5 linked regions of the Rattus norvegicus genome follow. The protein of the gene in region 1 purifies or fractionates together with the protein of each later gene. This does not show direct contact. Links are inferred from orthologs where the notes say so. Each region holds a gene or a part of one and is shown in the gene's direction. Other genes may lie near its edges.

Region 1 (5,490 bases):
TTTCTACTAGCACAATTGTAGTAGTTGTCAAAACAGGCAGCTGTTTTAATGTTACAACTGGTAAAGTAGAAATCTTTCTGAAACAAACTTAAATCACTGACCAATAAAGGGGGCTTAAAAGTAATCCCAGTCATCCGTTCTTGAAACCCAAATAGGAGAGAATTCAGTTTTTTTATGATTGAAATGGCATCATTCTTGGACCAGGCAGTATTGCCTGGATACAAACTCCTCATCTCCTCAAATCAAGCCTCTAAAATAGTTTCTGTAGGACTGAATTTACCTCTTACAGGTGAGTGAAGTCCTAGGAGATAGGAGTTCAAAATCTTGCCCCTTTTGCTATTTTGAAAAACAACACACTGTTGCCCATCATAATGAAGAGTATTTGTTAGCTAAGAGATGGTTGTACTGATGGCTTGTTTTTCATTTTTTTTGTGCTTTTTGGTCCATCTATTAATAAAAATGAACCCCGTTACAGAGTCACCATCATGTCTCTTCTCACCACCCTCTGAATCTGCATTAGCCAGTCAACTAGCCCTTTCAGCGTCATGTGACCAGCGCGCCCCATTCAGCTTGGCTGGTGTCGTTTCACATGACCCAGGCTGGCCAGTCGTCAGGTTGCACCGCCCTTTGGTTCCCGAGCATGCTGTTTTCTCTCAGCCTTCTCTCCAACCTTAACCAAATCGGCAGCAGCCACCTCGACCGCCCACACATTCCTGGCCAATCAGCTCAGCTGTTTATTTACCAAATGTCTTCACAACAACTACAGCAGCAGCCTTCGGCTAACAAAAAAGCAGGAAAAATCCACAACACCCCCTTCGCCAACCAACTAAATCCAACGCAACATCTGGCAAAACCTTTTCAGCAAATTCTTCCTGGCCGTCAGTCCGGCAGCCTCACCTCACCATTTCTAGCTTGTTGAAACCCAAAACTAGTAAGTTTTTCCTGCTTATACAGTTTACTGCTGGTTAAAAATAAGGAGTAAGCGGCTTAAAGTAATTCTTTTTCTGGATCAAAGGCTGGCTGTGCATAATTGAATGGTAACGTACAATATATTGCTTGAAACAACTTTTAAGGGTGATAGGGAACTCATAATGTGACTAGACCTTCAAGTGAGCTTATGTGCATGTGTGAGATGCCAAACTAAAATTTAATATCTCTAACAGATTTCAGCTTTTCTTCCTAGCAAAATTTTGTTGAATCCTATCACCTTTAAATGGTTTTACTAACAGTTTTCAAAGTTTAAAAAAAAATGGGGGTGAAGTGTGGGCCAAGCTACGGTAATTTTGATAAGCCTAAACACACTCTTAAATGTGACATCACAAATGCAGTTCTAATGTAGCACTAAATGGCATCGATGTTTACCACACCCACCGCGTTTTCACAAAATTACACTATTCACCTGGTACTTAAGTCTTGTTAGAGACTTAAAGGTTTTGCATGGGTTCCAAATACTGGTTTATGGTACAGTTTTTGGAACTACTTGTGGGACTACATTTTGGTGTGGTGTTGTGGGGTAGTGGAGTTAGTTTGACATGAAGTTTTGCATTGGACAGATCTGCTGTGAAGCATTCTTTGTTAAAATGAATCCATGGTTGGAATACCTGCTTTTCACTTGAGCTTTTTGTTCCTTAATCCTTCTGTGCCCTTTTTTTTTTTTTTTTTCTTTTCTTTTTTTATTTTTGGACGATGAGTGCCAGTTCTCCGGCACATTCACTGGGCCCAACAGTGAAATTGAAAAGTTGGGAAATGCCTCAACGCCACATACAATAATTGACAATTAGTCTAATTTTACTATTTCTGCTTTTAGATCCCCAAGAAGGAGAAGCTTTTCGCGAAGCCGGAGCAGGTAAATGTTTTGGTGCCCTGTTCTTAGAAATGGAAGCTTAACTCTCTGGCTAGTAATTACAGTGACAAGGGTACCATACAGTCAGCACTAAGTTAGACTGAGCTAGACTTTCTTCGAGGTGAATTTCTGATAAACTAATGTATCTTCTGTTTGCTTTAGGTCTCTTTCTAGAGATAGGAGAAGAGAAAGGTCTCTGTCTCGTGAGAGAAATCACAAGCCGTCTCGATCCTTCTCTAGGTCTCGTAGGTAAGATCAATGATTGAAGTATTGAAGATATGTATATGTAATCTGTGTACTAAGATAATGTTTAATTTTTTTCTTTTGTTTTTTTAGCCGATCTAGGTCAAATGAAAGGAAATAGAAGACCAGTTGGCAAAAGTGGTGTACAGGAAATAACTTCATTTGACAGGAGTATGTACAGGAAATTAAAGTTTTGTTTGAGACTTCATAAGCTTGGTGCATTTTTAAGATGTTTTAGCTGTTCAAATTTGTTTTGTCTCTTGGAACAGTGACACACAAAACGATGTAATTCTCTATGGTTTCAAATGGATCATATGAGGCATGTGATATTAAGAATTGTTACTTTACAATGTTCCCTTAAGCGAGATTGAATTTTCTTTGAATTTTAGTTTTTCATAGACTGAAATAAACCTAGATCCTGCCCAGTTTGAAGTGATGTACTGATGACGTCAAGCACCTAGCGGAAATGGACTAAAGCTGTAGTTCCCCTAGTGGCTGAGACACAGTGTGGCACTGTGGGTGAAATGGTGAGCAGCCTTTAAAGGCTGCTGTGAACACAACCAACAGATAAAGGGTAGGAACCACACTCTGAAGGTTTTCACAGTGGTTCCTTCCTGGTTGCTGTATGGGGATGCAGAGCTGTCTAACATCTTTATTTGGAAATGTAAAACTAAGATACCAGTGTCCTATCAGTTTAAGGGTACATTGTAGAGCTGAACTCAGTTACTGTGCAAGATTTTTTTTCATGCTGTCATTTGTAATATGTTTGTGAGAATCCTTGGGATTAAAGTTTTGGTTACAAATTGTTGTTTAACTTGAAAGCCTGTTTTTCCTTGCACACTCAAAATCTGTGAGCTTGGTATCAAGTCCAGGTATAACATTCCTATTGGAAACCATACTTATATTTTCTTGTAAAGTGCTTTTGAATTAATAAAATACTAGCATAATTGTGTAGTAAGCAGTCAGCTGAGTGAACCCCCATTGCTCTTATCCCTGGAAAGCAGTTGGTTACCCAGTTCGTTCTTTGTAAGAAACAACTGAGAGGCACTGCGTTAGCGAAGGAATTTTCCCCCCTTTGCTTGTCACCTATGAGAGCCATGTTTTGGGTGTGGAAGTCAGTTCAGGATCATGGCAGTTAGTGACTAACATTTTATAAAGCACCAATCTATGACACACTGTAAATCCTTTAAGTTGCCCTTAAAAAGTGGCTTTGATCTTCAGCATGAAGTCATTGACATTCAACAAAATTTTATAATTCGTTCCATTTTATAACTTGAGGTGTTGCATGGGATTCCAGATTGATCCATCATGATGTAAAATCCACACTGGTTAATTGTGATGATGCACAGTTGAATATGGAGGCATGTAAACCTTTTCTCTTAGAAATCTGGAGGAGCTGTGGTTCCAGGGGGTTTTTTGTGTGCAATTAGATTAAATCATAATGCAACAGTCTCGTGGCTTAAGTTTCCTTAAATGTGTTCTTTTGAGATAGTTTTTGGGATTCCACTGTACTGACTTTGTCTTTGTAAGATGCCATTGCACAAGGTTCAATCTGTAAGCTTATAAATCCCCCAAAATTTGTTATCTTTTTACAATAAATTTCAGTAAGAAAGGAGAGAATTGTGTTCAGAAGGTTCCAACATGAGCCTTTGAAAGAGGTAGCCATATTCAAAGAAGATACTTTAGATTCCCTGTTAATTGTTAGGAGTGCGCTTTATCCTTCAGGGTAGGGTTGGAGTCAAGCCTGTTCCTTGTAATTGTAGGTCACATTAGCTACTCTTTTTTTTTTTTTTTTCCGGAGCTGGGGACCAACCCAGGGCCCCACATTAGCTACTCTTGATCGTTTTCTGAGTGTCATACTAAGTTAGGGTGACTGCAGGTGTTTCCTGGAGGTCATTATTAGTGACTGAGAAAGGCACCTGAGATTGGGATTCTCTTTTCATTGTGGGTCACCTCAGAGGTACATACTTTACAGCACGGTGTAGGTGCCCGCCCTTTACCATCCAGGTTCCTTAAGTGTCATGGTGGCATCTCCACCCTGTATTGGACCATAGGCACTGACCGAGGCATGAAGCTGAACAGGAGATCTTAGTAATTGTTTTTGACTCTCAGCCTCACTCTGGCATGTTGCTGCTTAATTAGAAATGAATGGTGTTGCTTATAGAAGTCTAAGGTGCTGCATGTATAGGTGAGAAACGGCCATAGTCTCCCCAGTCACTGCGTTAGTGCCTTGTCTTAAATGGGCTTTGCCTTTCTTAGTCCAGATGGGACTTTGATACCAGACAAGTCATCTCTTCCAGTGTATATTTTTTGTACTGCCAGACTGTTGCCTTCTGGTTTTCTTTTGGGGGAGGGACAAAAAAGATTTTTATTAAAGACACTGACTTTAAGCTGGGTTGGAGTATATTATGTGTATTGTGTCTCCATCCATGTACAGCACTTTATAAATGAGCTATGCTTGCCACAGGGCTCAATAGCACTGGTGAGGGAGGAGGAGAGAGGGCAGAGTAGAGTTGCGAGTACTGCCTGTTCTCTGTACAACTGCTGCTTGTTAAGGTTTAAGTTCATCTCTAGAGGATCTGACACCTTCACCTGTACCAGGACTGACAAAGGAATTAGCACAACTTATGAAAGGAATAAAAGGACTGAGTAGAAAGAACAAGAACTACCTGTGTTAAGTTAATCTTAAAAGTTTAATTTTATGTGAGCACAGTGTCACTGTCCTCAGACACCAGAAGAAGGCATCAGATCCCATTACAGATGGTTGTGAGCCACCATGTGGTTGCTGGGATTTGAACTCAGGACCTCTGGAAGAGCAGGCAGTGCTTTTAACCTCTGAGCCATCTCTCCAGCCCCTCCAACTCACAACTTAAGTTCTTTACATGATGAAGGACTGGCCTGTAAGCCAGTGGTGTTAGCATGCTGCCCCTGCCACTCCTGCCCCCCTCTTCAATGGCAGCATCTTTGGTTAGGGCTTGTGTGCTGCTTTCAAATGAGCTACCAGGACCAGGTTACTTGGTTGTTTTTTTTTTTTCCCCAGAGCTGGGGACTGAACCTAGGGCCTTGCCCTTGCTAGGGTTAGGGTTAGTGTTCTACCACTGAGCTAAATCCCCAACCCCTACTTGTTGGTTCTTGAAAAGGTTGGAGACAAAGGGGCATGCTGTAACTGCCATTGAGCCATAATGCCCATCCCATCCTCCTGGACCTGGCTCACAGGCTGCCCTGCTGTTTTCCTAGAGTCTGGCTCCCAAGGATTCTAGCGCAGACCAGAAGAGCTTTCAGCATTCAGTAGTTCCCATTGCTGCTGGTGGTGGTGGTGATCCTGGAAAGGAAACTAAATGTTTTCCTAGTGAGCCCCCTATGTCATGCTTTTCCACAGGATGGCTCTGACATGAGTATGTTAG
Region 2 (5,954 bases), on another chromosome or scaffold:
TTCCCAGACTTCTGCTTACAGCCATCACGGTGCGGCGCCATGAAAACCGAACCCCCTCCCCCGTGGGGGGGACTTTGAGTGCTCTTCTAGTTTTCCTCTTTCTTTATCAATTCTCTCTGGTACGGCCATTAACACCAAAGATCTCACCCAGGCAAACAACCCTCGCCTCCCCTCAAAGCGTCAAGTAGCGGTTTGCTATTCTCTCACCTGACCAAGAATCCCGCCGTGGAAGCCTCCCCTCCGCTCCCGCTCAGTCTACTGTCCCTCAACTCTCCATTTCCCGCCACAATACTGGGTTATTTTTTTGTTACGAGTGTTTTGAAGATTAGCGATTCTGAAGAGAAGAGGCTAGGGTTCGCTGTGACTCTGAAGAGAAAATTTCTCCTCAGCCAACAGGTACCCAGATTCACCACAGCTAACACCTTCCTCTGCAGCCGCATAAAAGACAACTACCTTCTGGGGAGACGAGGACCTAAAGATGAAGCGCAGCTAACGCTATCGCAGCCATTCCGCACATCCCTTCCACCTCGAGCTACTTTTCCCGCCACCAGGAGAAGGCGCGAAGACACGGACAAATCCCGCCCCCAAGCGGCGTGCGCTCACAGACGTAGTGCGCATGCGCCGAGGGAAGCCGCTTTTGCGTCTGAGCAGCTGGAGTAGCTCGCCATCTTCCGAGTGAAAGCCTAGTGAAACTACAAGTCCCATAATCCACGCCGGCGCCTTTATTCCCCCCCCCCCCCATAAGCTGCAGCGGAGCACCTGAGGCACTTCGTTCTTGTCTCTGCCTAAAATCTCCTTCTCCTTCCTGTTTCCATGTTATGACCCCTATCTTTTAGTTTCCGTCACGCTCTTATATTTTGAGACCATCTTGGGCCCCCCTCTTGCTTCTTTTCTGATAGTCTGCTGACAGGGAAACTCCGCCAGCCATCAGTCTAGGGACTCGGCATGGAATCAGTGCTTCCCATTGGCCGAAGCAGAAGGCCCAAAACAGGTCGATACCCGTTCCCGCCCACATTCGCTTGTGTGTCTAGTGGAGCAAAGCTGCAGCGATAATGCTGTAAAATCCACAACGCGAAAGGTGGCATTGACGATAACAACAACGCCACCCTTCGCGCTGGGGACTGATGCGCAGGCGCCGCACTGTAGCGGAGGCGTCCGAGGCCTGACGTAGGTGAAGGGAGGAGAGGAAGGCGTGGTTCTCTAGATGTTCCTCGCTGGTGGAAGGGAGGTCGCCTGAACGACCAGGCCGTTTCAGGGGAAGAGGAATTTGTACAGCCTCGATGTTTTAGTGCTTGCTTGTTTTCAATTCGAAGAATATTTTAAACAATGTATTGCATTTAATTGACAACAGTTCTTGAGACAGTGTGCTCGACTCCTTCGCCTACTTTATCATTCCCCCCTCAGGTTCTCCTAAATCCTTCTAATTCTAATGAGATGGGCGGGAAGAAGGAGGGGAAGGACTAGATTGCTCATGAATAATTCATGAGCTTGCCCCTTTCCTGGGAATGCACAACCCTTGGAAACGTGCTGACGCACGCTGCGTGCATCTAACCTAAGGAAACGACGTCATACTCCCCGCCCCTAGGACGGAGGGGGCGGAGCATCATCTCCAGCACGTGTTGCCCCTTCAACCCGCGCAAGCCCAAAAGGACGGTGCGCAGGCGCTCTCTAGGAGGGGCGGGGATGGGGGAGGAAGGAGGCGGGGCAGGGAGGTTGTTGGGTTTAGAGCCGGGCGGAGACCGCGGAGCCTCATTCCTCAGGAACAAGGGTCGGGTGTCAAGGAGACCTTTTCACACCAGCTCCCGTTCCCCGCCTACGGTGGGTGGGATCTCACAGCAGAGACAAAGGATATCAGTAGGGCTTGGACTTAGCAGCGAAGGGAAGTCGGGTGTCCGTGTGGGGCGGTGGGCGTCTCGGGCTGGGGGAGGGTGAGGCTATTAGGGAGGGGGGGCTGTATTTAAACTCTCAGAGCCGTTAAGTTGGTTCGCACTCCCGATGCGCGCGCAGCCTGGGTGGTGGCGGAGCGCGCATGCGTGGGTCCTGGGCGAGCGGAACGCGCGCCCGTCGTGCGCGCTCGCGGCAGAGTGGTAGAGGCGGCGGAGAAAAGGGTGTCAGCGCACGCGCAGTTGGTTCCTCGGCTTGTCCGGGTCTCGCGGGCATCTTGTTTTGGTCTCGCGGGCGAGTGGAGCGCGCTTGGTGTGTTGCGGGAGGGAGGTGGAGGCGCTTGGGCGCGAGGCAGAGCTGCGCGCGCACTCGGGGAAGGAGGGAGTGAGGTGGTCTTAGGAAGGGTTACAGGGGGGCTTCCCCTTGATCTCTTCTCAGTACCCTCGCTTGGGAAGGGGAAATTAAACAGGGAGAGGAGATGATCGAGATGGCGGCGGAGAAGGAGCCCTTTCTGGTGCCAGCCCCACCGCCGCCGCTCAAAGATGAGTCGGGTGGAGGGGGCGGCCCCGAGGTGCGATCGCACCAAGAGGCTGCCTCCGGGGAGCTCCTCGACGGGACAGAACGCGGGCCGGGCCCACGCGCGCACTCGGCCGGGGCCACAGCCAGCGGAGGGGGCGGCCCCCAGGCACAGACGCATGGGGAGCCCCACGGGCGAGCTGCCGCTCCTGCGGACGTGGGGGAGGAGCGCCGGGGAGGGGGCGGGACGGACCTGGGTCCCCCAGCCCCTCCTCGACCTCGCAATGGCTACCAGCCCCACCGACCCCCAGTGGGTGGTGGGGGCAAAAGAAGAAATAGCTGTAACGTGGGGGGAGGGAGCGGTGGAAGCTTCAAACATCCGGCCTTCAAGAGGCGCCGGCGAGTGAATTCGGACTGCGACTCCGTGTTACCATCCAATTTCCTTCTGGGGGGTAATATATTTGATCCACTGAACCTGAATAGCCTCCTGGATGAGGAAGTGAGTCGCGCACTCAATGCGGAGACCCCAAAGTCATCCCCACTTCCGGCCAAGGGGAGAGACCCTGTGGAGATCCTCATCCCAAAAGATATCACTGACCCACTCAGTCTCAACACGTGCACTGATGAAGCCCATGTAGTGCTTGCTTCACCACTCAAGATTGGTCGCAAGCGCCATAGACACCGGGGACCGCACCACCAGCAGCAGCAGGCATCTGGAGGGAATGATAGCCAAGCTGTGCTGCCCACTGACCCTCTCACACCCTCAGTCCATGGGGAGGGTGCTACGCAGCAGCACAGAGGCCAGAACCGAGATGACCCTCAACCCTATGAACTCAACACAGCCATCAACTGCAGGGATGAAGTTGTGTCTCCCCTTCCGTCTGCCCTGCAGGGTTCCTCAGGCTCCCTTTCTGCCCCTCCAGCTGCCTCAGTTACCTCTGCACCCTCTTCCTCCTCCTCCCGACATCGCAAACGTCGCAGGACTTCCAGCAAGTCAGAGGCAGGGGCTAGGGGTGGAAGCCAGGGTTCCAAGGAAAAGGGCAGAGGGAGTGGGGGAGGCCGTCACCACCACCCACTACCTGCAACTGGCTTCAAAAAGCAACAGCTCAAGTTCCAGTATGGGAATTACTGCAAGTACTATGGCTATCGCAATCCTTCCTGTGAGGACATGCGCCTTAGGGTATTGAAGCCTGAGTGGTTTCAAGGCCGGGACGTCCTAGATCTGGGCTGCAACGTTGGCCATCTGACCCTAAGTATTGCCTGCAAGTGGGGCCCAGCCCGCATGGTGGGGCTGGACATTGATCCACGACTTATCCACTCTGCCCGCCAAAATATCCGACACTACCTGTCCGAGGAGCTTCGTCTCCAAGCTCAGACTTCTGAGGGGGACCCAGGGACAGAGGGGGAGGAAGGGACTACCACTGTCCGAAAAAGGAGCTGCTTCCCAGCCTCACTGACAGCCAGCCGGGGTCCCATCGCTGCACCCCATTTGCCCTTGGATGGAGCGGACACATCTGTCTTCCCCAACAATGTCGTCTTCGTCACGGTAAGAGTCCAGAGGCTCTTGGAATAGGGTCCCAATGTGAAGATGAGATTAAGTAGGGATGTGTTGGGGGGGATGGCCATATCCATGCATCTGTTCCTTCATACAAGAACCATCTCCCGGAGAGAACAGTCTGGATTGGCCAGAGAATCTCTGCTGGGTGTGTTATCTCTGCTCCTATAACGTGGAAAGTGGGATCTCTACCTTCAGGCTCTAACATCTGGTCTTTTCTCATGACTACAAACAAGGATCTCATCCCTAACATAGGGGGCTGACTTGTTCTGCTTCCAACTGGGACTAAAATCCAAACAATCCGCTTCCCTTGAGGGTAACCTCTCCTGTTGAGTCCAGATGGAACCTTGTCCTCAAATCTCCTGAGGGAGCCTGAAGTTGGGTGTCTGGGGGAGGGGAAACACTCCAATATGTGTAGTTTGGGACTTTGATAGGGACTTTATTTGCCTTTTTTCCCCAGATGCAGCACAGACTGCTGAAATTACTGGTCAGGAACTCATGGGCTTGTCTTCCCATGCTGACTGAACAATGAGAAGGGGCAGTGAAGGCAGGGCTCTACATGGAGCGAGTGCCCAGCCTGACATCATGCTAGTTCCCTCCATTACACAGTTGTTAGGCCATCCAGGGGAACTTTTGCCAGTGGCTTGGCCTGGGAAATGTCTCCCCAGGAATGGTGATGAGTTTACCTTCTTTAAAAAGAGATTTCTTAAGGTTATTTCCTTAGAGAAAGAACAGACCTGAAACACAGCTTAAGAGTCTCTGTCTTTAAAACAGTGCATGGCCTTTGTATGTGAGGTCTCCTGGGTAAGGGTTTTGGGAACACTGTAATTTCTCCAGTTAACCATTAGATAAATTAGCTCAATTTAAACCTAACCAGGCTCCCCTTTAAGTTTGTTTGGTTTAGCACCAGGAGCTTAAAAGGGAGAAGAGAACATGGGGCTAAAAGAGGGTGCTGTTGGGAAGAGCCTCAGGAAGCCACAGGGCTGAAGTGAGGTTCTCAGTCCTCAGGTGGTTGTGGGGCCAGCAGTGCTTCTCATCCCTCTTTTTGACATCTTCCCCTCTTCTGGCCCACAGGGTAACTATGTCCTGGACAGAGATGAGCTGGTGGATGCCCAAAGACCTGAGTATGATGTGGTGCTCTGCTTCAGCCTCACCAAGTGGGTGCACCTGAACTGGGGTGATGAGGGGCTGAAGAGAATGTTCCGCCGGATCTACCGGCATCTGCGACCTGGGGGCATTCTGGTCCTGGAGCCCCAACCGTGGTCGTCCTACTGCAGGAGAAAGTCTCTCACAGTGAGTTGGGTTTCTGTGGAGAGAGGGAATAATCACCTTTTTATTTTTACGGAGGACTGAGCCCCTTACCTCACACGTGGCAGGGATAACCTACCCTCTACCAGTGAGCTACAGCCCCAGTCCTTATTATTCAAGACTGTTTTTGTGTGTAGCCTTGGCTGTCCTGAAGCTTACTCTGGACCAGGCTCTCTTAAACTTAGAGACCCATCTGCCTCTGCCTCCTATGGACTGGAATTAAAGACTTGGACTGACAATAACCGGCCCCTTTTTATTTGGGGCTGGCTAAGCTGCTGGCCTGAACTGGCTCTGTGGTGCAGGCTGGTCTTGCCTCCACTACATCCTCCAGCTCAGACTTCCTGAGCAAGGAAAAGAGTGTCATAATTGGCCGAGGGAGAAAGGGTGGTAAGAAGTAACCCATTCCCTTTTTCCCTTAGGAAACAATCTATAAGAACTACTTTCGAATCCAGCTGAAGCCAGAACAGTTCAGCTCCTACCTGACATCTCCAGAGGTGGGTTTCTCCAGCTATGAGCTTGTGGCCACACCAAGTAACACCTCCAGAGGTAAGAATGGCTGGGAGGGGCTGGTCCTGGCCACAAGGGTACAGGCCCTGTGGAGAACCCCAAGGTCCTACCCACCTGCCTCTGTGTTCTTCCCTGCAGGCTTCCAGCGTCCGGTGTACTTGTTCCACAAGGCCCGATCTCCCAG
Region 3 (5,490 bases), on another chromosome or scaffold:
TAATTTTGCTGTTACATGTTAAGTTACTTTGACAGCAATTTTCTAATGATAATGTGATTTATGATTTAAAAGGCCTGAACCAAAATGGAAGTTATTCCTTGCGTCTGAAGTATAGCACCATCACCTTATTAGGTCACAGCAGAGTGAGTGTCCCAATGTCGCTCTGACCCAACTCCCTTGATGACGCAGTGTGTGTTTGGAGGTGAGTTGTGTAAAGTGGCCAAACATCAACAACAACAACAAAAACACAAACAAGAGCAATTGGTAAAGCTGTATACTGCTCTTTAAAGTAGCATTTTGAGGTGGACATGTATTTGAAGCATGAGGGGCGATTCTGATTTGATTGGATGTTGCTTTTAAAAGAACTAAAGACTTAAGTTGTAGTTGCAAGTCAGCTGGTTACCAGTTAGAATTAAGGCACAGGATTTTATTTACATTATAGTAAAATTTCAGGCAGATAACTTGACAGTCCTAGAAAAGCCAGTTAACATGATTGTTCCTATCTTCCAATATTAAATAATACAAGATATTACAGCTGATGTTTAAACCATTTCTGTTATAACATAGTTTGCTGTTTTGTCATGGCATCCCAAGGACAGTAAAGATGTACCATAAAACCTTTTGGTAAATCACTGATGGGAATTTACTTTTACATTACTCCTCTTCCCAAGAGTTCATGCTTGAATTCTGACAGAACAGTTACCATTCCAAACGATAAGGTATTTCATTTTTAAAACAATGTGGTAATTATTTTGCTTTGAATATTTCTTAAGACTTAATTTTAAGAAAGGACTTTATACTTAAGTATATTTATTTCATTTAGAAACCAGAAACATGGGAGACTGTTTTATAAATGCTTAATAGTAAACTTTATTGGAGAAATGCTTTATTGATTTGAATTTTAGTACACTTTAAAACCTAAATATCTGGTAGTATTCCCCTTGTAGTGAGCATGAGATTAAAGTTTAGAACTTTTTAAACAATCTTTTCTTTTTTTGTGGTTGTGTACTCATTATTGCTTGTTCGTCTTTTGCAATTTAGATAAATGATATAACATTAAACTCAAGGTGGTTGAGTTGCAGTAGGGAGTCGGAAGCAAGCCAAGGGAACATCTTTCTCTACAGGGGACTTGGCGATTCCAAACCCCCAAGGTTCCAAGAAGAAACTGAAGACACCTGGAATCTGTACTTGCTTTGTGCTATTGAGCTGTGCTTGTTATACGGACCTTGTTGCTTGACCAACAGACCTAGTGTTTAAAAACCCACATTACTTTTAGAAATCTTGACTCCTAGTTTTGTGGACAGTTGAGCATCTGTGGCATTGCTAGTAATAGGTTTCCATGTGCAGTAGTCAGGCTTCTAGCTTAGTCTTCAGATGTTACAGACTGCATGCATAACCTGTTAGTTCTTGTAACTGAACACTAGATAATAGACAGTTTACAGAAAGTTACCGTAGTGTAAAGAGAAGTGTCTATGTACGTTTTCAACTTCTTGTTGGGGCAAGTTTTCCAGCCAAGCAAGTATTGTTAGTAAGTGCTAGAATGTATAGTGTTTGTTCCATGATTGTCTTTAAAGTTGATAACTACATGAGGCCCACTAACAGCCACACAGTCTAAATACTTAAGGAAACCCACAAAGGCTGCTCTAATGCTTTTGGTTCAGTGAGGGAAATTTTGATTATCTAGAAATTATATCACCAAGAAGCAAGTAGGGAGCATATATATTTGTATATATGTACCTAAGCCCCTTATGGTAGACTTAAATACTAATTTACGTGAGTTTCAGGTTGGTTCGTTGGTTTTGAAGTAACCTGGTTTTCTTCCTGTCATGTCTTTTCGCAGAACCCAGATTCCAAAATGATGCAAATCAACCTGACTGGATTTTTGAATGGGAAGAATGCTAGAGAGTTCATGGGAGAACTGTGGCCTCTGCTGTTAAGTGCACAAGAAAATATCGCCGGAATCCCTTCTGCTTTCCTAGAGTTGAAGAAGGAAGAGATAAAGCAGAGACAAGTAATCCTTTTTGAACTGACTTGAGGCTGATGGTTTGCTTTAAGGATAGCTGTTTCCTTTGAGAGCTTTTAACTTGTGGTGTGACTGTACACTGGTTGTGGTTTACCACTCTCACGAAAATTAGAGCAGCTTTTTCCCAGAGGTCAGTGATGATTGGCAGGGATCTTTGGTTTTGTTTAGTGTTTAGTTTACCTTAAAAGAGAATTTAAATGAAGTATGGAAAAAATATGTGCAAGTTCTCACATAGGCAGTAATTATAAAGTCACAGACTTTAAATAAATGCTATAAATTTATAGTAATGATAAAGGATAACGGAAAGAGTGTTGGAAGAGTAAAGTTGAGAGCATGGAGCCCCCTGCACCAGCCGCGGTGGTTGCCACGCCAGTGTGGGGTGCTTTGATGGCTGGCTCTTAGCGTCTCACTGTGTGCTTACAGATTGAACAAGAAAAATTGGCGTCTCTGAAAAAACAAGATGAAGATAAAGATAAGAGGGATAAGGAAGAAAAAGAAAGCAGCAGAGAGAAGAGGGAGCGGTCTCGCAGCCCAAGAAGGTAGGACAGAACAGATACAAGGACAGTGTTTTCTAGGTGCCTTGGGTCCTGAGGGGTGCTCTGGCAGAAGCTCCCAGCTTGAAGACCTGGGGAGCTTTACTGGAGAGCTGCTGTGTGCTTCTGGGCTAGAGAGAGCCTTTCTTGCCAGCACTTTGGCATATTTTATACAGCTACCCAGGAGGTTGAGGCAGTGGGGGTAGGGCTGGCTTCTAGGCCAGTCCAGGCAATGCTAAGATACTCTTAAAAAAACCCGTGATCACCTCTGTAATTTAGATGAGTTACTCATTCTTAAGTAGAAATGAGGATTTCATATTGCTTTGCTTAAATAAAGCACTGGGATTTTTGTTGGTACTGTATTCTGACTATTTCCATTTCCCTTTTATTAAATCTGCTCGTTAGCATTCATATACTTACCTAATTCCGTGTTCTGCTTTTCTTAGATGGTTGTACTGAGCCCAACCTTCAGATCATTTATTTGTTTTCTTCTTTCTTCCCATGAGACTATTGTTAGGCTCACATTTTTAAGTCCACGGTCAGCTTCTGCTATATTTGTGGTAAAAGGTGAGAATTCCATCAGGCTTTTCATTCTTAGGTCTTTTAAAAATAAATTGGGGATTCGTAAAGAAAAGAGGAAGCAATATTTTTGTTATTTAGTTTGTGCTGAGTTTGGAAACTTACAGAAGGAGTGCCTCTAAGGCTGAGCGCAAGCCACCCTGCCGTTTAGCGTTACTACAGTTTTTAAAAACTAGTAAATATTTTTGGATTAGGCGCACTACAGCTTAGAAAGGAAGAAGGGGCTCCCGCCAATAAACATTTGGCATTTCTCTTTTCTTGAGAACGTACTACTTGTATTGCACCATCCATTTTCCTGCATCTTGAGGCTCTGCCTGGGCATCTCTGATAGGAGCTACCTATACTGTGGTACGTTGGTATACAGGGCTGACTTCCTGGTAAGGAAGAGTTGCTTTAGCACTTTCGTCTGAGGCATTGGTCTTTGAGTGATCGTTGGGAATAGTTGAGAACCGGTGCCTCCAGCCCAACTCCGTGCCTCCCCTTCTAACTGGTACTTGAGGCTGTTACCTCTGTTTGCTTGTCCTTCTAGTTCTCTCTGGCCTTTTCCTTCTCAAGTAGATGAAATGGATATCTTGTTTCCATGTGAAACTTCTCAGATACAGACAACATTGGGTAACTTAAAAGATTAATCCTTGATTTTCCCTTTGTCTACTCTAAACTACATTATTAAAAAATCTGAAAAAATTGCTTTCATCCTAGACGCAAATCCAGATCTCCTTCCCCTAGAAGACGATCTTCCCCTGTCAGGAGAGAGAGAAAGCGCAGTCACTCTCGATCTCCCCGTCACAGAACCAAGAGCCGGAGCCCTTCCCCTGCCCCAGAAAAGAAGGAGAAATCTCCAGAGCTCCCAGAACCATCAGTGAGAATGAAAGACTCTTCAGTACAAGAGGCCACATCTACAAGGCACGTTCTTAACTCTGTTACATAGTCTTGTCAGGCTGTTTGTGCCCCCTCAGATGACACTGCTAACTTCAAAGCAAAGTACCAGTTTTCCTTTTCTTAAGTTTTTTAATATTATAAAGTTAGTGTTGGAAATGAAGCTGAATTTGTGTGTGTGTGTGTGTGTGTGTGTGTGTGTGTGTGTGTGTGTGTGTGTGTGTGAAATAAGGAAAATGCCCCAGAGGTGACTGCCTATCTTCCATATTGTTTCAAAAATTTTATAGATCATAATTATTGATTTTCCTACCTGCTTGCCACAATATATTGTGGACAAATTCCTGTTTTGTTTTGTTTTCTTTTTGTAATAGGGGGATATAACCCAGAGTTTTGCAGTTTTTGTCACTGACCTATATCCTATTAAACATCTTTACCCCCAAATGCAAAGAGATTTATTCACTTCTGTTAACTGGGGTACAAAATATCCTAAATAAAAGCTACCCTCCCTCTTCAGGGGAACCGTTTGTGCCCCATGGCTGCGTTTCTCTTGAGCACAATGCATCTGCTGCATCCAGTCTCATAGCTTACAAGGCCACACAGCACTGCACGCAGCCTCTGCAGTCGTGCACACTGCTCACACAGCACCCATCCATGGCCACTACAAAGCGCTATCCACTGATTGCTTGACTGGTGGTCGAGGAGATGAGGAGATCCTGTCTCAGCTGGACCTTGTGCCTATGGGCTGTTTGGTCAAGTCAGCCTCTTTCCCTTCATGGCTCCAAAGGCTCCCAGGGATCAGGCTTTCTGGACTCATGCAGTTGACAGTGACACAGTTCTTGTCCCACACATGAAAAGGGGATATAAATTCTTAGTTGCTCAGTGAATCAGGATGTGTACCTGTCCTTTGAAACCAAGAGGTATTTGCAGGTTTTGAAAACTTTTTTAAAAAATATGGTGCTCTGCATCTGTTTTTACCCTTTAATCTGTTAGTAGTGAGGGACAGGCCCCATGGTTAAGAGTGTGGCTTTAATTTCATTGTCACTGTGGGGTTCCGAGGAACTGAACCCAGGTGATCAAGCTTGCACCATAAATACTTTCTTTCTTTCTTTTTTTTTTTTTTTTTTTTTTTTTTTTTTTTGGTTCTTTTTTTCGGAGCTGGGGACCGAACCCAGGGCCTTGCACTTCCTAGGCAAGCGCTCTACCACTGAGCTAAATCCCCAACCTCCATAAATACTTTCTAAAGATAGCCAATGATTGAATTGGCATGGAATTCTGAGGAGAGTCGGGGGAACAAAACAAAATGCTATTTTCACAGTGACATCTTGAAAGCTCCCAAGCCTGAGCCTGTACCAGAGCCCAAAGAACCATCTCCAGAAAAAAATTCCAAAAAGGAAAAGGAAAAGACTCGACCAAGATCTCGGTCACGTTCCAAATCACGGTCCCGGACTCGTTCTCGGTCACCTTCTCATACGAGACCCA
Region 4 (6,234 bases), on another chromosome or scaffold:
TTGAGGTGGGGTCTTCTCCGTGAACCTGGACTACCGGATTCAGCTGGGATGGCTGGCCAGTGGGTTTAGGGATCTGCCTGTTGCTGCCCCTCCAGCAGTCAGGGTTTAGATGCCTGTCACTTTGTCAGGCTTTTACATAAGTGCTGGGATTTAGAATCGGGTTCTAGCACCGCAGGAATTTTATGAGGTGAACCATCCCTCCAGCCCCACTAACTGTAACTTTTTGAAAATTACTTTTTTTTTTTTTTTTGGTTCTTTTTTTTCGGAGCTGGGGACTGAACCCAGGGCCTTGCGCTTCCTAGGCAAGTGCTCTACCACTGAGCTAAATCCCCAACCCCTGAAAATTACTCTTTACCACCTCCTAAATTTCTGTGGTTTCACCTCATTGGGCTGCACTGTGGGCGGAGAGGCAGAGAAGTGTCTGGAGTAGCAGCCTGGGAGCTTAGTGTTGACTGCCTGATGTGTCCCTGTCCCCACCCCCACCCCGCTGTGGCTGTCCCAAGGCTTCTCTGCACTGCAATTTCAAATCCCTCTGAATTGAATCCTCAAGCTGCAAGTCTCTTTAGGAGGGAGAGAGGCCTGTGTGGCTGAGTAATTAACCGCTTCTGTTTCTCCTACCTCCCACTCTGTAGGCCCAGAAAGATAGCGTAATGGTGGGGTTCATGACTGTCACCCACAGCTGGCTATCCCAAACACAAACCTTTCTATAAAATATACACTAGGAAGCCAGGCATGGTGGCACATGCCTATAATCCCATCACTCAGGAGGTAGAGGTAGGAGGATTAGGAGTTTAAGGTCATTCTCTGCTACAAAGCGAGGAGCAGGCCAGCCAGTGCTACACAGCAAGATTCTGTCTCCAAACAAGAGGGCTTGGGTAAAGCTCACTGGTAAAGGGTTTTGTTAGCATGCTCAAGTCTCTGGGTTCCATTGTCAATACAGCAAAAGGAGAACAAAAGGAAAGGAAGGGGAAAGGGAGGAAAGAAAATGCATTCTATTCTTTTAACCCAGTTTTGTTCTTACATTTGTACTGCACTCAATGGATGTTGCCGTTCTGAGGAATTCCATCTTGTTTGTCCCAGGGTGCAGGCCCATTTTAAGAAAAGCTTGAATGTGCTGCACCACTTGTGTTGGGTCTCATAAGCACACATAATTAGCACGTTTGTTCCTTACATTCTTCTTGGAGGTGTGTGTCACCTCTTTGTTCTGCTGAAGGAACTGACATTCCGTGCCATGCCCAAGGTAACCTAGTGTATTTGATTCTTGTATTCTTCTGCTTTAGAATGATTTGTCTTTCTCTGAAAGGATTTTTAGGAGTTCAGATATATGGTCTCAGATATATATTCCTGGTTCAGATCGGGAGATAGGTCTAGAAAGGACCCCGAGCTAGTTAAATATGACATAGGAGGAGACACAAAATCAGGACTCATGACAGACAAGAAGTGCCTTCTGAAAGTCTGATTGTTCAGACTTTCCTTTTTCCCAGCCAGATTCTTACTAGAAACATTTGCAAGAAATCATGCTTGTGAGTCTTGTGATGGATAGAGCTCCCAGAAGTGAGAAAATGGAGTCTACGCTCTGGTTGTGCCCTTTGGGTAGGTCACTGCAATCTTTGAGCACCCCCTTTCCATTTAAGATAGGGTCTTCTGTAGCTTAGGCTGGCCTCAAGCTAGCAAGTGCCCCTTGGTGCAATTGGAGGATAACCTTGAGCACCTAATCCTCCTGCTTCTATCTCCCAAGTGTGGGGAATACAATCATGTACCACCATTACCAGTTTAAATTTAGTCAGGTCTCACCTTGGATCCCTGGATGGCCTGGCACTCGGAGATGAGCCTGCCTCTGACTCCTGACTACTGGAATGACAGGCATGTAACCCTACACTGGGCCCTAGTTTAAATTTTTTGACTACATAAAATGGTTCAATTACTGGAAGACTTGACAGAGACAAAGTTTACTATGGAAATAACTTTGTAAACGCTCAGATTGCCGAGATGATATATTATAGTTCATTCTGGGCTCTGAAGTACAATTGCCTAGGCTTAGATCCAGGTAAATAACCTACCTTGAGAAAACCGTGCCTCAGTTCTCTCCTATGTAAAATGAAAATAATAATAAAAGAAAGTAATAATAAAATCTTATTCCTAGAACTGTAAGGGTTCAAGCCATGGAAGTATTCGGCACGCAGTAACTGCTCAGCGGTTCTTAGAAGTATAGTCCTTAAAGTGTAGGTATTTTGGAACCTCAGACGAAGCTCCACCTCCATTCCTGTTTCGTCCCGCCCCCTACCCCGCAAAATCCCGCCCCAAGCTGGCCCCAGGTTCTGAGGCCACCAAGGGGGCGCCAGAGATAAGGACGGCTCTCTGGTAGAAACGGACGACGCTCTAGGTGACAGAGGTGCTTCTCTGTGGTCATCAGCGACGGCGCTCTAGGCGGCCGGAGTGAGGGGCGGGCTTTCTGTGGTGCGGCCGGCTGGCAGCTATGGCGGCCGTTCGCGGCCTGCGAGTGTCTGTGAAAGCGGAGGCCCCCGCTGGGCCGGCTTTGGGGCTTCCGTCGCCCGAGGTGGAATCCGGTTTGGAGCGTGGCGAGCCGGAACCCATGGAGGTTGAAGAAGGCGAGCTGGAAATCGTGCCGGTGCGGCGCTCCCTAAAGGAACTGCTCCCGGTACGGGCGAGGGGCGGGGGCTGAGGAGGAGGTCGCCGAGCGAGTGTCCCTTGCGAGGCGGGGAGGCGGTGGACAGCGGCGCTGGCGCAAGTCCCGGAATGCGGCGAGGGGCGCGAGCGCCGAAAGGCGGGGGCCGCGCATGACCCGGAGAGCTCCGGAGAGAAAGGACGCCGGGGCGCCCGGAAATGGGTGCAGAGAACGCTGGAGGAGGCGGGGGTTCTCGGAGAGAGTTGGGGACACCCCTCTGACTGCCCCTCGGTGCGGGCCCGTGGCCCGGAACGAATGAACTGAGTTCGGCTGAAGATAAAAGGGAGTCGCGGGCGGGAACAGAACCGGATCAGTCCTGAAAGGAAGTGTTAGGTGCCGCGGGCGTCCAGGTCTCCTGGTGGGTCCTACCCCGGCGGAGTTGGTGTCACTTAAACATGACATTCGCTCTTCGGTTGGGAGGGCTAGACTTGTCAAACAGCAGACACTTGTGTGTTGGTATTGTGAATGAGTGTCCTCATGTCCCCGCGTGCCTTCACTGCGTCTACTTGGTGGTCCCAGCTTCTGACGCACGGTGACATTTGATCTTTCTTTAACCACAGTGGATATGAGGAGTGTTTTGTTTGTGGTTTGGTATCCACATGCCCGCTCCTAAGGCTGGTGTGAGGCCTGGGTAGCTTGATTTTCACACATTAACCCCCCCCCCCGTTTAATTATGCGATAGCAGGTCTTGGTTTTACGTTTGAAGTTATAGTGAAGGGTAAGGTAGTGGTGACAAATATCTTTGGTAACATCTATAGATTATACTGTGGTCGTGACTTTAATCAGTTTAACATGTATATATCACACATCTCTCTATGTGCTGGTGTAATTCCAGGTGCCGAAGAGCAAAACTCCCTCTTGGTGTTTGCCCTAGTAGGGGACACAAGTAAATAATTTCCTTTTGTGTTAAGTGCTACAGAGAAAACACATCCTGTTAATAGGATAAAGTACAGTGGCCAGGAGGGATGTGAAGCAGTTGGTATGTGTTGGGATGCACAGGGAAGTCCCCCGAAATAGATTCAGCTTTAACCCTAAATGACAAAAAGGGGCCAACCATGTTGGTTGGAAAGGGAGCAATTCCTAGCAGGGAGGACTGCAAGCACAAAAGTCTCGGACATGAAAACAAGATTGTTTTGTTGAAGAAATGTTGGGTTGTCTTCAGCACAAGAGGAGAGCAGAAGTCAGAAAGATGTTGTAGAGGAAAGCAGGGCCTAGAGATTGAATGCAGGGGCCAGGGTATTGGCTGCAGACCCGAGACTTCAGTCCTCATTCTAGTCACTTCCCCTCCTTTTTTTCATTGTATTAGGCTGTATTTTTCCCAGAGATCTAGGACTTGAAACATTTTTGTGGAGGCATTTGCTCCACCTAGTGGCCTTTCATAGAAAATTTGTCCTGTCTGGTTTGGGGAGTTAAGTGACTGTCTCATTTTTGACATTTTTCACAAAAGACTTTAGGCTTTCATTTATCTAGATGCCCTGAGTTGACAGAATTACTTAATGTTATGCACAGGCTCCTGCCTGGGGTCTGGAGAAGACTTCTTATTAGAATGGTTGCTTTCTACTGTGGAGCCTCAGAGATAGACTTCCTCCTAACAAGGGTTGTTAGAATGGAGAAGGGTTGCTAAAAAGAATGGCTTCAAAAAGGGCCAGCTGTCAGGCTGCCTTTTATGGTGGATTGTTCTGTCGGAGTTTCTCATTTTTCCTCTTCTGGTAGGACACAAGCAGAAGATATGAAAACAAGGCCGGCAGCTTCATCACTGGGATCGATGTCACCTCCAAGGTGAGACAGACGGTGATTATTCAGGTTGATAAGCAGATAGAATTAGTGAATGTGGTCTTTACCTTTTACACAATGGTAAATATTTTTGCCTCATTTTTTTCTTTTGTTGCTGATATGTATCTCATCTATCTATGATACACATATCTCATAATGTCAAATATCTACATCTGTCTGCCCAACGATGTCCTTATATATCCTGAGACCGTTCAGGCAGCATTTGTGTGTGCACATATCCATGAAAAGATAATCACTGAACTTAGTTGTCTGTGCTAACCATTTCCAAGAAAGAGTTTGCACTGGGAATGCTTATTTTAATATTTATTATTTAACATTCACTTGTTATGTAGGATGGATGTGTGTGTTTTGTGTCAAAGTGTGCATGCTGTAACACATGTGAAGTCAGAGAACAACATCAGGTGTTGGTTCTTACCTATCATCTTTTTTGTTTGTTTGTTTTTTGTTTTTGTTTTATTTGAGGCAAGATCTCTCTGCATAGCCTTGGCTGTCCTGGAACTCACTATGTAGACCAGGCTGGTCTCAAACCCACAGAGGTACACCTGCCTGTGCATTTCAGGTGCTAGGATCAAAAGCATATGCCACTACATCTGACTTTTTTTTTTTTTTGCTGGTAGTAGTATTATTGATAATATTTTTAAATTTGTGTATGAGCATTTGCCTGTATGTATTAAGTGTACCACATTCAGAACTAGGATGTGAGGAGCTCAGGAGAGGACTTCAGATCCGTTTGGACTGGAGTTTCAGATAGTTGGGAGCTGCCCTGTGGGTATTGGGAACCAAACCTGGATCTCTGTAAGAACAGACAGTGATTGTAACTGCTGAACTATCTCTCCATTCCCCCTCCTACCTTGTTTTTGAGGTGTTCTCTCATCTCTGTCTCCTGTCTCTAAGAATGTAGAAATTACAGACAAATGCTGCAGGGTCGGACTTTTACATGGTACTGGGAATCTCATTCAGGTTGTTAGGCTTACCTGGCAAGCACAACCACAGTCATGCTATGCCCCTGGCCTCGGGGATGCTTAAAGCCATTAATGTATATCTGTGGAAACACTGCTTTCCAACTTAGAAAAATGGTTAGAAGTTGTCTGCATGTCTAAGCTTTGAGGGCCATGCCGACTGATTATCCCCAGCATCTGACAATATTGTCTTTTGCTAAGTGATTGCGTTACCATTGTACCACCTCCATTATCATACCTCAGAGTGAAGCCTCTTAGTTCCCATGTGATAAATTGTCCATACGTTGCTTTAATTCAGTTCATTCAGACTTTTTCTTTCTTCATGATTTAAATGTGTGCTGTTCAGTTTAAAACAGAATTTTCCATTTCAATTGTACTTTTTATTCTGTGTATATATCAGTGTTTGCCTCTGTGTGTTATGTGCACCATGTGCCTGCCTGGTGCCTATGGAGGTCAGAAGAGGGCATCAGATCCCCTGGAACTGGAGTTACAGACAGTTGTGAGCTACACCATGTGGGTGCTGGAAACTGAACCCTGGTCCTCTGTAAGAGCCCGTGTGCTTTTAAGTGCTGAGCCATCTCTCCAGGCCCAATTTAAAATGTAAAATATATATATATATATATAATGATAATATATATATATTAGATCTTTAAAAACAAGAATAAAAGTAAGTATGTTATACTTGGCTTTTTATAATTTCTCCCTCTCAGTTTGTGTCAGATACTTAAAGGCCAGAAGAAAGAGCTGAACATCTTCTAGTGGAATAGAGAATAGTACAAAGTGAAATGTTCTCAG
Region 5 (5,490 bases), on another chromosome or scaffold:
ACCCAGACTGGGGTGTCTGATTGGAAAAAAACAGAGATGGACCCTAAACTACAGTAAGAAAGGACAGTTAGGAGTTAAGAGAGACTTTCACTCAAATCCAGTAAGAAGGGGCCTTTTTCTACTGCCAGTGGATGTCTGGGAACCCATGGAGTTTCTTTTTTTTTTTTTTTTTTTTTTTTTTTTTGTTCTTTTTGGTTCTTTTTTTTCAGAGCTGGGGACCGAACCCAGTGCCTTGCGTTTCCTAGGTAAGCGCTCTACCACTGAGCTAAATCCCCAGCCCCTCCCATGGAGTTTCTTGCAAGAGAATAAAGCCTTCTAGTTCCTAGAAAACCCTTTCCATGTCTACCTACTGCCTGCAAACAGTGGGGTTAGAACTGTTTTCTCATGTAAGTGACAGTGGTGTGTCCTGAGCTTGGCTTGGGTAGTAAGTGGTGGCAGCTGCAGGTTTTAGAAGGCAGGTTTAGAGAGCTGACTTGGCTTGGTGCAGAGTGGACATCAGGGTCCTGCTGGCTTGGAGGCAGTCTGAGGCTCTAGCAAGGATCAGGGAAAAAAAGGGGATGGCATAGTTCTTCTTGTTAGAGAGCCCTCTGGGATGGAACTTTCTAACAAGCTCTACTTAGGACAGATATAAGATCACTTTCCTCTCTCTTTAGGTGGATGCTCAGATAGGAATAAGCAGGAGGCTCCTCTAAGCTTTCTCTCTGTACTGGAGACAGAACTTACAGTCCATGACCATGTTCTGCTGAGATCTCAGGGTGATCTCAGTTAGTACTGTTCAGTTTTGAGAGATTTTATAAGAAATAAGATGGCCACTAGGAAGGATATACATCTGGAATTCCAGCACTTCGTAGGCTGTGGCAGGGGAATTGCTGGAAATTTGAGACTGCTTTTGGGCTACAGAGCAAGACCCTTCTTTTAAAATGCTTGAGAAAATAGCTTTAAAAGGCTTTATTATGTTTGTTTATTTTGTTTGTTTTTTGGGGGGAGCACCAGGGCATGCTTGTGGAAATCCGAGGACAGCTTGTGAGAGTTGATTCTCCATTTCCTGGCGAGGCAAGGTATATTTTACTCAGACCAAGAGACTTGAAAAGACCAGTGTCTGGAAACTTTTGCCCTCTTTTCAGAGATGATTTTCGGTATACCTTACTTCCAGTCCTTGTGCATAGAATTCTTTCTTTCTTTCTTTCTTTTTTTTTCCAGAGCTGGGGACCGAACCCAGGGCCTTGCGGTTGCTAGGCAAGTGCTCTACCACTGAGCCAAATCCCCAGCGTGCATACAATTCTTGTTGTAAACTTTGTCACTAGCTTTGGGGCTTGCTTTCCTGCTAGCATGTACCAATGCTGTTGAGCACATGAAGAAATGACTCCAGTTGTAGCTCAGGTGGGCGGCCACTGTCCAGGCCCTGGGCTGAATTGGATGAAGATCTGTTTAGTTGTTAGATGGTCGGTATATCCCTGGGTGTCCTGGAACTTACTTTGTAGATTAGGCTGTCCTCAGATTTCCAGAGATCCTTTGTCTCTGCCACCTGAGTGCTGGCATTAAAGGCATCTACTACCACACTTGCTCGGCTCGTGTGAGGAGCTTTAGACCAGTCAAGGAACTACTAAATGTTCAATGGCTTATCTGGGTCAACCTGGGGTCAAAGGACAGTGGTTTTCTTGCACCTGAGATTTTCTAGTTTTCTGCTTCTCAGCCCTGGAGGTTGCTGTGGGCTCAACAACTCCAGCTATCAGAAGACTTATGTCCACCATTAGGGGACAGTGGCTCCAGTAACCGGCCAGAAGCCAGGAATGAATTGGCTTCACCCTTAGGAACTGGGCAAGGACACTTTCTTCTCATTAAAGGACATAGTCTGTTGAAAAACCTTGTGAGGCCAGCCAGCCAGGTTTCTGTGCTTGGAGGCTAGGGTAGTTCCTGACCTGACATGGCAGAGGAGGGAAGTACAAGCTAAAGTGAGTGAGCAGAATCTCAGGTTGTGTTTCTTCCCGTGGATCTCTAGAGGCAGGAGGGACAAGACACCCTTGGTTTTCAGGACCAAACTAACCAGAGCCACTTCTTCTAGACTTGCGTACTCTGTTCCTTAAAAGCCATCTTCGTCTTTGTAGAAAAGTTAAATATATGCCCCACAGATGCATGATTACATACACGCTCCTCTGTTCTATAGAAAACAGATGAAGTCATCATCTTCTATGTGTCTATCTCCACATAACCAAAGACCAGTATATTCTAATGGCTATTGTGAAAGTGGATGAATTGAAATTCGGTGATTTTAGTACTGTTGGAGTTGAAATTGTGTATAGCTCTTGTCTCACTTGTATTATTGGGGTTCAATCTAAAAGATGAAACTGGCCAGGTATGGTGGCATGCTTGGGAGGCAAAGGATGTGTCGGGGGGAGATCTCTATGAGTTCAGCAGTCTGATCTGCTGACAAGTTCCAAGCCAGTCAGGGCTACACTGGGAAATGTTGTCTCACAAAATTGAACTTTAGAGTCAAATCGGAGTATGCCTTTTCTTTAGGAACAGAAAAGGTAGTTCTTACTTCAACTACATGTCAGCGAGGACACAGCAGGCCTTGGTATGGCCCTGGACGTGTCCATTCACATGTTTAGCTTTATTTTCTTTGGGCTTGCAGAAGTATACAGAAGACTCAATCTCCTTACAGGTTTTGCCTATAGATTTGGAGCTCTGAGTTACAGTGTAGACTTGGTTATGGACCTTGAGACTCAGTTGATAACTCATAAAAAATACAGACTTAGACTCTAAGGGTTTTCCCACTTCAGTGTTGAGCAGCTTGGTGGCTAGGCTGCCAGTTTATATTGTTGCCCTTTCTGCTGTGGCTCCTTTGGGAACCTGTAGGTGCATGGTGGGATGGGCATGGTAATGACATAGGCTCTGACAGCTGATTCTTTCTCTTTGTTCCCACAGAACCTTCTGCTCCGGCCAAGGTGGTGAGGGCAGCTGCTCCCAAACAGCGTAAGGGCAGCAAGGTAAAGACCGGGGAGTGTCCCTGTGGGCGCTCATTATTCTTGTTCTCATAAGCACTTCGGGCCCTTCTCTAAGAGCATGGAAGCCTTTATGGGTGCCATTGCATGGTGTCTGAGTGCACACACTGTTGTGTCCCTATCTCTAAAAAGAGCTAGAGCTTGGGTGTGGAGCAAAATGGCAGGCAGAGTAACCCCAAGGCCTTCATAGACGATACCTTGCAGGTTGGTGACTTTGGAGATGCAATCAACTGGCCTACACCTGGAGAAATAGCCCACAAAAGTGTGCAGGTGAGTGAGGAGGGGTTGGCAGGTTCAAGTACTCTTCATACTGACTTAGTTGGTTTTTGACCAAGAGCCATAAACACCACCTTTCTTGATTTTTGAAAAGGAGTGGTCGGTGAGCACAATAGTATGTATACTTCTGAAATCCCAGCTACTCAAAAGGATAAAGAAGGATGACTATACTCAGTCCAAGAGTTCAAGGCCATCCTTTGAGACATAGGACTCCCAACCCCCTTCAATTCTCAACAAATGAAGAGTAGTTATTTAAGATGGACAGGAATGAAATAATTAGGAATTACCATCATGTGAGCCTTTGCCTGGTTTCAGGGGTGCCAGGCACTGTTCTTTTTTGCCTTCCAGTGGTGGCTCAGCGGGTTTAGGAAACAACTGTGTTACAGTTTTCCAAAGCCCATATTTTTCCATTACTGAGCCACATTTTTCTATGAGTAATTGAAAAAAGAGGTATCAGTTGAGGCACTGACTCCAGTTTGGGGAGGTATACTTAGCTCCCCTAGATTCTAGCAGAAGAGACTCTTTCTTGGTCAGTTCAGTTCCACTCATCACTTTTGTTCTGAGCTAGTGACTGCCCCAGTGGGTCCCTTATGGTAGAGGTTTTGGTACAGACAGGCCAGCATCTTTTCTATCCCACAGATTTGGGTAGCTAGAACAATCAGTTGTTCTTCCATAGCTGGTATGGTCGTGTTTTGTAGTGGTGTTGTCTGAGTATGAAAGCTAGACCTTAGGATGTATCTAGTGTAGCCTGTCCTTATACTTCCCCAGTGACCACATGTTTCCTTGCCTCTTGTAGCCACAGTCCCACAAGCCTCAGCCTGCCCGTAAGCTGCCACCCAAGAAGGACATGAAGGAGCAGGAGAAAGGAGATGGAAGTGATAGTAAGGAGAGCCCAAAAACAAAGTCGGATGAATCGGGGGAGGAAAAGAATGGGGATGAGGACTGCCAGCGAGGCGGGCAGAAGAAGAAAGGTAAGTGGCTTGGCCAGGACCCGGGAGGTGTACCTTTCAGAACTTTGAAATGACATAAGCCTGACCTGCTGGAGGAACTTCAGGCCAGGGGGTGACTGACTGCTTGGAGCAGCTTTTGCTCAGCCTTAGTGCATCTTCTCTTATACGGGCTTTTATATTGCTCTAAGAGTTTCTTAAACCTGTTGAAATGATACAGGCTTGACTGCTTTCTCTCCGAGACCTATTCTGTGTCTGCAGGCCAGGCTTGAGGTGGCAACTCTTAACTCATTAAGCACAGCAGCCTCTCCATCCAAGGTGGCTCCCTTGTTCCTGCTCACTCCACCTAGAATGGCCCCACAAGGTTGTCACAGGCAGTGATGTGTCACATGTGTGAAGGGAGCCTAGAAAGTTAGTTTTTATTCAGGTTTCCAGAAAGTGATTCTTACATCTGGAACCTCTGATCTCCTTATTTTAGAGATTTATAACAACAAAAAAGAGGTCTGGTGTTTGAAAAGGACATGCCTATGGCTACCAGATGGGTAGTTGAACTAGAATTTAGGGGGAAGGAAAAAGCCATGTCTGAGGGGCCTGCCATGCCTCTCTGACATGCTTATGCCGTCCCTCAGGGAACAAACACAAGTGGGTTCCGTTGCAAATAGACATGAAGCCTGAAGTACCCAGAGAGAAATTGGCCTCACGTCCCACTCGCCCACAGGAACCAAGACATACACCTGCTATCCGAGGAGAGATCAAAGGTATGTACTGTCTGCTATGGAGAGTCTAATGAGGAGGATACTCTCAGGATTTACCTTGTGTTACTTTTACTACTATAGGATCTGAACCTGCCACCTACATGCCTGTATCTGTGGCCCCACCTACCCCAGCCTGGCAACCAGAGACCAAACCAGAGCCTGCATGGCACGACCAGGATGAGACATCGAGTGTGAAGAGTGATGGGGCTGGTGGGGCTCGGGCTTCCTTCCGTGGCCGTGGACGGGGGCGTGGTCGTGGACGGGGCCGTGGACGGGGTGGCACTCGAAGTACGTGAGGCCCCTTTGGGCTCCGGGATATCCCAGGGAGTGCGGCATGGGTAGTAGGCGAGATCCTTCTCTCTTTCTAATGATGCCCATGTCTCCTGTAGCCCACTTTGACTACCAGTTTGGCTACCGAAAGTTTGATGGTACAGAGGGGTCCCGCACCCCCAAGTATATGAACAACATCACTTACTACTTTGACAATGTCAGCAGCACTGAGATTTACAG

The links.
Region 2: the proteins of Srsf3 (region 1) and Mepce purify together in Homo sapiens (affinity purification with mass spectrometry; 3 studies listed by BioGRID and IntAct, with this or other methods). This does not show direct contact. The link is inferred for Rattus norvegicus from reciprocal best matches to the Homo sapiens genes SRSF3 and MEPCE.
Region 3: the proteins of Srsf3 (region 1) and Srrm1 purify together in Homo sapiens (affinity purification with mass spectrometry; 3 studies listed by BioGRID and IntAct, with this or other methods). This does not show direct contact. The link is inferred for Rattus norvegicus from reciprocal best matches to the Homo sapiens genes SRSF3 and SRRM1.
Region 4: the proteins of Srsf3 (region 1) and Ncbp3 purify together in Homo sapiens (co-immunoprecipitation; 3 studies listed by BioGRID and IntAct, with this or other methods). This does not show direct contact. The link is inferred for Rattus norvegicus from reciprocal best matches to the Homo sapiens genes SRSF3 and NCBP3.
Region 5: the proteins of Srsf3 (region 1) and Larp1 purify together in Homo sapiens (co-immunoprecipitation; 3 studies listed by BioGRID and IntAct, with this or other methods). This does not show direct contact. The link is inferred for Rattus norvegicus from reciprocal best matches to the Homo sapiens genes SRSF3 and LARP1.

Annotation. Positions count from the first base shown.
Region 1 is NC_086038.1:7,099,037-7,104,526, forward strand, and holds the end of Srsf3 (serine/arginine-rich splicing factor 3), read left to right. Parts: intron 1-475; coding exon of another isoform or gene 476-509; exon of another isoform or gene 510-1,760; intron 1,761-1,807; coding exon 1,808-1,846; intron 1,847-2,005; coding exon 2,006-2,092; intron 2,093-2,179; coding exon 2,180-2,207; 3' UTR 2,208-4,481; downstream 4,482-5,490. UniProt on the Homo sapiens protein: Splicing factor, which binds the consensus motif 5'-C[ACU][AU]C[ACU][AC]C-3' within pre-mRNA and promotes specific exons inclusion during alternative splicing.
Region 2 is NC_086030.1:24,546,825-24,552,778, forward strand, and holds the start of Mepce (7SK snRNA methylphosphate capping enzyme), read left to right. Parts: upstream 1-1,771; 5' UTR 1,772-2,362; coding exon 2,363-3,946; intron 3,947-5,029; coding exon 5,030-5,248; intron 5,249-5,682; coding exon 5,683-5,809; intron 5,810-5,884; exon of another isoform or gene 5,885-5,908; coding exon 5,909-5,954. UniProt on the Homo sapiens protein: S-adenosyl-L-methionine-dependent methyltransferase that adds a methylphosphate cap at the 5'-end of 7SK snRNA (7SK RNA), leading to stabilize it.
Region 3 is NC_086023.1:152,864,615-152,870,104, reverse strand, and holds part of Srrm1 (serine/arginine repetitive matrix protein 1), read left to right. Parts: intron 1-72; exon of another isoform or gene 73-1,840; coding exon 1,841-2,011; intron 2,012-2,446; coding exon 2,447-2,562; intron 2,563-3,834; coding exon 3,835-4,038; intron 4,039-5,326; coding exon 5,327-5,490. UniProt on the Homo sapiens protein: Part of pre- and post-splicing multiprotein mRNP complexes. As a component of the minor spliceosome, involved in the splicing of U12-type introns in pre-mRNAs. Involved in numerous pre-mRNA processing events.
Region 4 is NC_086028.1:58,161,787-58,168,020, forward strand, and holds the start of Ncbp3 (nuclear cap-binding protein subunit 3), read left to right. Parts: upstream 1-2,454; 5' UTR 2,455-2,476; coding exon 2,477-2,659; intron 2,660-2,761; exon of another isoform or gene 2,762-3,044; intron 3,045-4,399; coding exon 4,400-4,465; intron 4,466-6,234. UniProt on the Homo sapiens protein: Associates with NCBP1/CBP80 to form an alternative cap-binding complex (CBC) which plays a key role in mRNA export. NCBP3 serves as adapter protein linking the capped RNAs (m7GpppG-capped RNA) to NCBP1/CBP80.
Region 5 is NC_086028.1:42,721,735-42,727,224, forward strand, and holds part of Larp1 (la-related protein 1), read left to right. Parts: intron 1-2,925; coding exon 2,926-2,987; intron 2,988-3,206; coding exon 3,207-3,272; intron 3,273-4,074; coding exon 4,075-4,249; intron 4,250-4,854; coding exon 4,855-4,983; intron 4,984-5,061; coding exon 5,062-5,268; intron 5,269-5,369; coding exon 5,370-5,490. UniProt on the Homo sapiens protein: RNA-binding protein that regulates the translation of specific target mRNA species downstream of the mTORC1 complex, in function of growth signals and nutrient availability.